2 linked regions of the Caenorhabditis elegans genome follow. The protein of the gene in region 1 purifies or fractionates together with the protein of each later gene. This does not show direct contact. Each region holds a gene or a part of one and is shown in the gene's direction. Other genes may lie near its edges. The genes, in order: ric-4 and syx-3.

The links.
Region 2: the proteins of ric-4 (region 1) and syx-3 purify together in Caenorhabditis elegans (affinity purification with western blotting, with the first as the bait; one study listed by BioGRID). This does not show direct contact.

What each region holds. Positions count from the first base shown.
Region 1 is NC_003283.11:10,260,563-10,264,509, reverse strand, and holds ric-4 (Synaptosomal-associated protein), read left to right. Parts: upstream 1-1,766; 5' UTR 1,767-1,846; coding exon 1,847-1,999; intron 2,000-2,101; coding exon 2,102-2,192; intron 2,193-2,241; coding exon 2,242-2,491; intron 2,492-2,537; coding exon 2,538-2,682; intron 2,683-2,961; coding exon 2,962-3,027; 3' UTR 3,028-3,379; downstream 3,380-3,947.
Region 2 is NC_003284.9:5,347,448-5,352,804, forward strand, and holds syx-3 (Putative syntaxin-3), read left to right. Parts: upstream 1-1,650; 5' UTR 1,651-1,669; coding exon 1,670-1,699; intron 1,700-2,162; coding exon 2,163-2,270; intron 2,271-2,700; coding exon 2,701-2,887; intron 2,888-2,934; coding exon 2,935-3,111; intron 3,112-3,476; coding exon 3,477-3,692; intron 3,693-4,366; coding exon 4,367-4,569; downstream 4,570-5,357. Other genes in the region: C26B9.1 (PH domain-containing protein), read left to right, coding at 468-515. UniProt on the Caenorhabditis elegans protein: Potentially involved in docking of synaptic vesicles at presynaptic active zones. Acts in the intestine to regulate anterior body muscle contractions (aBOC) and the expulsion steps during the defecation motor program (DMP).

The sequences.
Region 1 (3,947 bases):
TTGTTTGCTGACTTGAATTATTTTCTTGGATCTAGTTATTCTGTTCAAAATCTAGCGGAAATTTTAGTTTTCACAATTTTTTTTGAAAGCTGTAACTATATTGAACTTGAAACTTCCTTATGGTAGCTTTCTTTTTTTTTGTCTCCGCTTTCCTCCTAACTCACTAAAAACTCCATTCATACATTACCACAAAATTTCAAATTTCAAAAGCTCTTTCACTGCAAACCAAGTAGCATTTGTGTTAGTTTCGGTTTGATGTTCAAAAAATTGTCTTTTTGAAGCTATTTAGCCTGTTTGATATCCACGTGAGAAAATACTAGTTATCCGTTTATTTTCAATTTGTGATGTGATAGACATTGTTTTTCTTATCAAATCACAAATTAAAAAATAAAGTTAGAGCTCTTCGATTAGTAGTTCCCTCCGGTATTCCCCCAATTAGCATAGGCTCTCTCACCAACCAAAAACTTCAGCTTTTCGTTTCTTTTTTCTTCTTTCATTCTCATTGACTAACGACGTGAAAGTTTTGATTGATTTGTCTTTCTTCTTCTCTTTTAGTAGTACAATCAAACTCCCAAGAGTCCCTTTCTCCTTCCAGCTTTTTCTTCCACACTTTTCCATATCTTTCTTCTCATTTCGAATGCATGTCCCTTTTTCCATTTACGTATTGCATTCTGTCCCTCCACATCCTCCATTTTTTGCTGGGTTGTTTTATTCTCTCGTTTCTGAATTTACTTACCACTTCTTTCCAATCGAAAACATAAATTCTTTACTTTTCTCTCAAGACCGAAATTTCCGAGTCCAGAAGCCAGAAGGGGCTCAGTTTCCCAGTTCAGACCTTTTAAAGATATTGACTTAAAGTGAGACTTGAAGAGCTTGTTGACTTTATGACTTTGTGTAGCATCTTGGAAATGCATATGAACAAAACTAAATGCCTCAAGGCAAGATATGTTTTTGATCAATGAGTAGCTCTCATTTTATTCATGAATCATAGTCAGCCATAATCAAAAAACTACCCAAACAACAAATTGTAAGATCACCTTAGAAACTTTGAATAACAGGAATAGGCATTTCGTGATTTCTTTCCAAAAGCTAAATCTTTTTTCATTATACTTACTTGTTTATTTTCAATTAGGAAATTTTTCAATAAATTAAATTATAATATTTTATCAGACGTTCAAGTGATCGAATGTTTCATTTATCATGATATTTAAAAAGTTTAAACTTTTATTTCGGATGGTTGCATTTAATTATGTATATCTTTATTTTGAACCGCATTTATATAATTCTTCTATCAAAGATTACAAGCAATCACCTCATTTTCCGGTCATCAGCCATGTAATTTGGAGGTGAATTGGCTAAAGTTGTTATCAGAAACTAGGCTTTTTGCTGTTTCATATAATTTGAAAAAGCTAATTGTAATTCAAACCAATATTATTCCAAATATTTGCTTGTCACAAACTGGCCAAACTCGGGAGAACATGCATAGTCTTCCAATTCTGAAAATGGATGTTTAGTCAATCCAGTGTGTGCCCTTCTTTTCCTTCGTGGCTCTCATTCCTATCAAGTTTCTCCGAAATCTGTGTCTTCTTCCATAAACGTCATTGTTCTTCGTTTCGGCGTGCTCCCTCAATCGTGAAATTGTTGTCATTTTGTTTAGGTGCCGAAAATTTGATTCACGGATTCTCTCAAGCCAATAAATGTTGACAAGACCTTCTTAAATTTTTTTCTTGTTTTCTTTCTTTCTTTCGTATCTGAAAAGTTTTAAGGTACCAATAAATACGAAAACAACGTCGAATATCGTTTCCCCGTGTAGCCGGGGCGGTTTTGAAAGTTTGAAAAAACGGGGATGTCGGCTCGGCGCGGCGCTCCCGGCGGCCAACGGCATCCCCGTCCGTATGCCGTTGAGCCAACTGTCGATATCAATGGGTTGGTACTTCCAGCTGATATGAGTGATGAGCTTAAAGGGCTTAATGTGGGAATTGATGAAAAGACTATAGAGGTAATAGTTGATGCAGAAGAAGTTTGATTGAAAGATGTGTTTGAGATAAATTTAGGAAATGAAAAAAAGTTGTCTCTTAAATTTATAAATGTTTCGTTTCAGTCATTGGAATCCACCAGAAGAATGTTGGCTCTTTGCGAAGAAAGTAAAGAGGCTGGAATCAAAACTTTGGTTATGCTCGATGATCAAGGAGGTCAGTCATCAAACTTCTAGACTATTAAATACATTCTTGTGGTTTTCAGAACAACTTGAGCGTTGCGAAGGTGCTCTTGATACAATCAATCAGGACATGAAAGAAGCAGAAGATCATTTGAAAGGAATGGAAAAATGTTGTGGTTTGTGTGTATTGCCATGGAACAAGACCGATGACTTTGAAAAGACGGAATTTGCAAAAGCATGGAAGAAAGATGATGATGGAGGTGTTATCTCTGATCAGCCAAGGATCACTGTTGGAGATTCATCGATGGGACCTCAAGGAGGATATATTACCAAGTAAGTTTTATTAGAATAAGATAACATTTCAATTGTTTCATTGAAGGATCACTAATGATGCACGAGAAGATGAAATGGACGAGAATGTTCAACAAGTTTCAACAATGGTCGGCAATTTGCGTAACATGGCAATTGATATGAGCACAGAAGTTTCCAACCAGAATAGACAACTCGACAGAATTCATGACAAGGTAAGTGTAATGATAATTTGAATTTTCAAAGCATAACAAGAAAATTTGCAAAAACCTAATTTAGATTGAAAATGTATTGATCGAACATTATGTCACTATGAGAAACTAATTCTAATATTTTTCCTTGAAAACTTTATTGAGAAATGTTCGTTTGAAACTTTGTAATCAAAAATAATGATCTATTTTTATACTGGTTCTAGTTGTAATACTTTGAGAAACTCAGTAAACTCGGGAGAATCTAAATCATCGAATATTCTATTTAACTCAATGTTTTTCCAGGCTCAATCCAACGAAGTCCGTGTGGAATCTGCTAACAAGCGTGCGAAGAATCTCATCACAAAATAATATTTTAATGTTTTCAAAACTCTCTGTGTCTCATCTTACCATTCCATTTTCCATTGCATAATTTCTCAAAACTCCCAGTATTTTTCTCCTACTCTTGGACCAGTTGTTTTTTTCGATTGAAAATTCAAAAATTGTTATTCAATCAACAAATTATTTTTTTTTAAATCAAAAAAACACCCATTTCCACAAAAAACTTAAAATATAGCTGAAACTTGAAACACCTGGTAGTTGTGAGTATTTACATTCCCCCATTTATTCATTTTACATGCTTCAGAAATGCCCTAATTTTTTATAATGAAACGAATGTGAATGAACAAAGTATGGATAATAACGAATAAATTATTTAAATACTTGCACTTAACAGAATTTTAAAAATTAATTGATCTTTGAAAATGACGAATAGTCACAAACTATCAATTTTTCTGTGTTTTTGTGGTTTGATGACAGATTACAGCAGTCTATAATTTTTAATCAAATTGCAGGTGGAATGAGTTGTCACAACTTTCAGATGATCAGAATTCGTCTGATTGCATAAATTTCTATTCACTTATATAAACTACGTCTACAATTTTAATTTTGCCGCAGTTGTAAGCAAAAGTCAATTTTTAAGATTATTCTGTAACTAATCTCATTGAAAGTGACGTTTGATGCCAATTGAGTTTCGAATATTATCTATTAATTTATCGCTTATTCGTTTTTTGTTTCAATAATTAAACATTGTTTTATTTAAAAGTTAGGCTTTATTCCACTCAAATGAGCCGAACTAGTCCAATCTATGTAAATATATATATTTGTTGATATTTATATATTTTCCTTTTGTGCCTGAACATCACTTTTTAATCAACGCCAACGCAGATGTTTATTTTTTAGGTTGTAAATAATTCGAGAAATTCCTTCAAAATTCACAGCTCCATTTTTCA
Region 2 (5,357 bases), on another chromosome or scaffold:
TTTAGCAAAATGATTTTGAAATAAAATCTTCGTTTTATTGACAATTTTTAAAAATTTCAGAAAGTTTTGTTTTTGACCTAAAACAGTGAAATGTGGATTTTTCAAAATTTGTGCTTTTCTAGAAACAAAAGGTATTTTCTAAAAGTCCACCAGAAAACGAAAAGATAATTTTAAAAGTGATTAGCATATGATCAGATGGTTTTTTTTGTTGAGGAACATTAGACTTTTAAATTGTTTTGTTTTGATCAACTAATCAACGAAGGTCCACTATTTTGACCAATTCATAAAGATTAAACAAAAATGTAACACGTCAAAACTGTTGGTATTTCATAGAGTGTCCTGAAACACATTTTTGGCTTTAGAGGCCAACGCAACGGGCTTCTGATGAGCTCCAGATGAGCGCAAAACCTTTATTTTTTACCTATATTTTTTATATGGATTTTAAAAATTCACAAAATTTATTTCAGAAAAAATTCAACGCAAAGCCAAAAAAGTGGTACGAGAAATATATTTGATTACGAGCCATCTGATATGTGATGTCATTCTACTTCTCGAAATTGCAACAACAACAACACAACCACAATAGACGACATAAACCCCCCGCCATCGCGAGCTTCCATGGGTCATCAATGAATTCATTCCTTTCTGCAACCCCATTTCACTCTTTTTGTCTACTTGCTCCCTCTCAAAAATTTCCCTTTTTTTTGGTTTCATGCTGGCCTTCTATTTCAAATCTCATTTATTGTATCGCGTTTGTGCACAATTAGTGCATGCGTCCGGAGCATGTTCGCCGCTTCAAATTGCCCACAATCTTCTCCATTTTCTGTGTTGTAGCTATTTTCCTATTTGATGGTGCCCTTTAAATACCCTTTTGTAGTTCTTGGTTAGTGAACTTTTTCTCTTTTTTACTCTTCTGGTTACTGGCTACCTACTCAAATAAAAAAGTTACATATATTGGAATAAGATGGAATATTCCAACAAAACTTTTACTTTTACTTTTTGTTTGAAGACAACTGGGTTTTTCTTCCAAATTTCCAATTTCTAATTCACTTTATGTCATATATTCTGTGCTGTGTGCTGCATGCGAAATGAGTTGGTTGAGACGAAGAAAAAAGTGCTGAAAACAAACAAGCCGACAAATTGTTAAAAACCATATTGTATTGACCGAGTCAAGCACCTGCAACCTCTCTATCTCTCACTTTTAAATTCTCCGATTTGCCATCTTTTTTGCGGCATAGGTATGACGAAAGTACGATTTTTGTTTTAATAAGATGAAAATGTGTTTCACAGTGGAATCTTTCTCGAAAAATCGTCGTCTGTTTCTCATCTTGTCAGTTGTTGGTCTCAATATATTTTTTCTCTTTTTTCCCTCAGCCCTCCCACACAGATGATATTTGATTTTTTAAAATTTCGAACATAGTTTCTCATTGCTATTTGCTCCAAAAACTATAAGCTTCTAGGAAAAGTTCATAATTCTTTTTATCGTTTTTACGCGAGTTATTTTTAAATGATAACAACATTCTTGAAAAATATAATTCAAAAGATGAGAAAAAAATATTATCAGCAAAATACTTGAAATTTTTCTCCCCTCTTTGTTTGGTTTTGCTTGTTCTACTGAAAAAAAATCAAAATTAATATAATAAATTTCAGGAATTCGTCGTAGTCAGAAATGCCTAGGGATCGGTTAAAGGAATTACAAGTGAGTCATATATTAAATGGGTTTGTTTTAAGGTGTAAAAACATGTTTTTAATGTTAATTATACACAAAACATTAAAACAAAAACAAACATGTGTTTTGCTGTTAAGTTTTTCAACATGCTAGCTATGAACAAGAACCAGTAAAATAACGAATCTCAAAAATGTATCTGGAAAAGGGCTGACGATTGTTCGTTTTTAAATTTATCAATTTTAATGACCCTCGTAATTGTAATTAGAGCGTAAGTATATGCAAAATTTCAAATTTATAAACAACAATTTTCCCAATTTCACAATTTTTAGTTTTTGCTTGTTTTGTGCTCTTGTCAAAAAAAATTTTGGTCGTTGTCTATTTTGGAGAAACAAATTCAACTTCCGAAAAAAAAAAACTTAGCCCTGTTCTGAGGGTACTCAAATGGATTTTGTTGGTACAAGTTATCTTCATAATAAGAACAGCTAATTTTCAGGAAAAAGCAACAGTTAACACTATACATGCATATAATTATGATCCACCTGCACGAAAATATGACGTGGAATCCCAACCTTTAATAAATCAAGATGCTGACTTTGAAATGGTAAGTGTTTTGTTTACAGCCTTTTTTGAAACAAAATCTTAAATGTTTGGGCATTTTGAGACAAAAAATCTAGTTTAAAACATCAAAACATGGAGTTCTGTAATAGATGATGCAAGTGATAATGAAACTTTATTTTGGAATTGCTTAATTTCTTCGATTGAGTACTTGTACATAAACTACGAAAATGCTCATTCTAATTAATCCAAAACACAGAAATGTCACAGAAAAGTGATGAATAGGCTCAAAAAGCTCAAACGCAGTGAACTAATCACTTCATCGATTTTCATAAAAAATAATGCCAAATGAACTTGAAATTGTTCAATTCATTGAAGTCGTTTATAAAAGAAAGTTGAAAAAAAAGTACAAAATACAAGTACAAAGCAACAAATAAATTAAAAACAAACATCCCAAAACTATACTCATTTTTCAGTTCTTAGAAAGATGTTCAAATATTCGCGGAGGATTAAAAAGTCTCGAGGAAGACTACGACGCAGTCGTGCAACTCCACGGAGCACTTCTGTCCACGCCTGGTGCGGATTCAGAAAACTCGAACAAATTGAAAAGTCACAACCAGATGTTTTTCTCAAAAGCGGAACAAATCAAAAATAGTTTGAAAAGTAATTGATTGGAATCTAGAGTATCTGAATTAGAAACTTTTTTTCAGTTTTATCGGAGGAAACCAGCAGAATACCAACTACAGCGTGCGGAATTATGCGTGCGAAAAGTGATCAAGTGAAATCTATTTACAAGACTTTCGAAAATATCATGTTGAACTTTAATCGAGAACAAGATGAATATAAAGAGAAGGCAAAGAGGAAAATTGTGGACTACCTAAAAATTAGTAAGTAGTTTACTGCTTTTCATAAAACTTTCGAACCGGACGCCCTGTTTTAAAAACTTTTTTTCCGAGTAAAAAAACCAATGCCCAGTTGTTTCAATAAATAATAAAACTGTATTGCAAAGTCCCGTAGTTTTCAAATTGATTCACAAATTGTAGTAAAAAATCGACCCGTAAAATGTCAGCTGCTGTATTTTTTTCAGAATAAAGTTGGTACAATTTTACAATATGGAAAACCTAAAAAAATATTTATCATATTGATGACTGAAAATATTTCGGAAAATACATTAACTTATATTTGAAAAAAATACAGTTTATGAAGATTTTTTTTTACAAGAATCGCAAAGTAAACAAAATTTTTTTTTTAGGAAACATGCAACTCAGCGATGAAGAGATTGAAAATGCAGTATCTTCTGGAAACCTTTCTGAAGTAACAAAAGGTGTGATGTTGGCGCTAAACGAGAAAAAGGCCTTATATGATGAAGTTAAATCCCGAGCGGATGAGCTGAAAAATTTGGAACGTCAGATGGGCGAACTGGCACAAATGTTCCACGATCTCCATATAATGGTTGTCAGTCAGGCAAGTATTTATTTTATTTTTTTCCGAAAAAAACCACATAAAAAGCGATCGCGTGAAAAGGAATAAAATTCATATGCATTTCGGGGAGAGGTACATCATTCGGCTTCAATTCATATATTATTGATTTTGGTAATTTTTTTGCTTCATTCTGTATATGTTTTTACAACTGTAATTTTTTAAAGTTTCTACATTTTAGGAGTTTTAAATTTGTTAAAAACAAATGCAACAAATTGTTCGAGATACGATGCCGAAATCAAAACGCAAAATTTTCTTTAAAATTATTTTTCAGTGCAAATCTAGACAACCTTTCACAATTATTTTCGAATTTTCTCATAGGAGCGCTATTGTGATTTCTGTCAGGAACGCAATAAAGAGAGGAGCTATGTTTCGACTCCGTAATTTGTCTAATTTTGCTCTCCCACCTGGACCTGCATTCCTGTTATATCGATCAAAAAATGATCCCCATTCACTGTTTTTGAATTTTTCAATGCATCTTACTGTTGCTTTCCAATAATCTTTTTAAAATCCAAATTATTTTTTAATATATGTTTTCAATATCAAAACTGCAGCTTTAAACTTTGGAAATATTGAATTATATTTTTAAAAAAATCTCAATCTAAAAACGACCTAGTTGTCAATAAAGTAACCATTTTGAACATTTGTTTTTGTTTCAGGGAGAGATGGTGGACAGTATTGTTAACAGTGTAGAAAATGCCACGGAATATGCTAAACAAGCGCGTGGAAATGTGGAAGAAGCCCGAAACTTGCAAAAACGAGCTCGAAAAATGAAGGTGTGCATCATCATTGGTTCAATTATAGCTGTTTTAATTCTGATTCTCTTTATTCAATCTGCCGTTTGCCACTTTACTCCTATTTGTTAAATGCTCAAACATATGGTTGTTTTGCTGCAAAATTGCGGCAACTCTGATTACACTGTATTTCACTGTATCTTTATTGCACATCCCTCATCATCACGACCAGTCACTAATTTGATCGCTTTAAGATCTTTCTCACTTTTTGATTCGTTTCTAATTTTTAATTTGGCAGATTTTCCAACTGATAATATGGAGTTCACTTATCCGTTTCATCGTTCTCAGCTTTTCTGCCGTTTATTGTGTGTTTTAATATTCAATATTTTCTCTGTGTGCCTTTGTCTTTTTTGTTGTATTATGTGTGACCTATGCTTTGAATATCAACAAGAATTGGTTTTATAATTAAAATTCTTTCAATAAAGAGAATTCTGATAAGAATTTCATTTTTTTTAATGTTATAAAGTGTTTTGAATAAGTTCTAGTAGTCATGAAATACAAAGAAAATTTTGTGTAACATTTCTCGAGAAAACACAAATAAAATCAGCAAATTCCAATACGGCAAATTACTGAGAATTTCAAAAACCATAAATTATCAAAATTTTTGCGTGCTTGAAAAATTAGGAAACTAGCATTTGCCGACATTGCCAATTGCTTAAATGTCGAGGAGCTAGCAATTCCCAATAGCCAAAAATGTCAGAAACCAGTAACTGCAAAAACTTCCAAAAAATATCCAATTGTCGTATAACCTGGTAACACTTTCAACTTGTCTTTGCCGAATTTTCCTTGATTCTTTTTTAAATTTAACGCACTTCATAAATCTTCACGTGCACTACTTTGCTTTCTTTTTCGATAAGCTT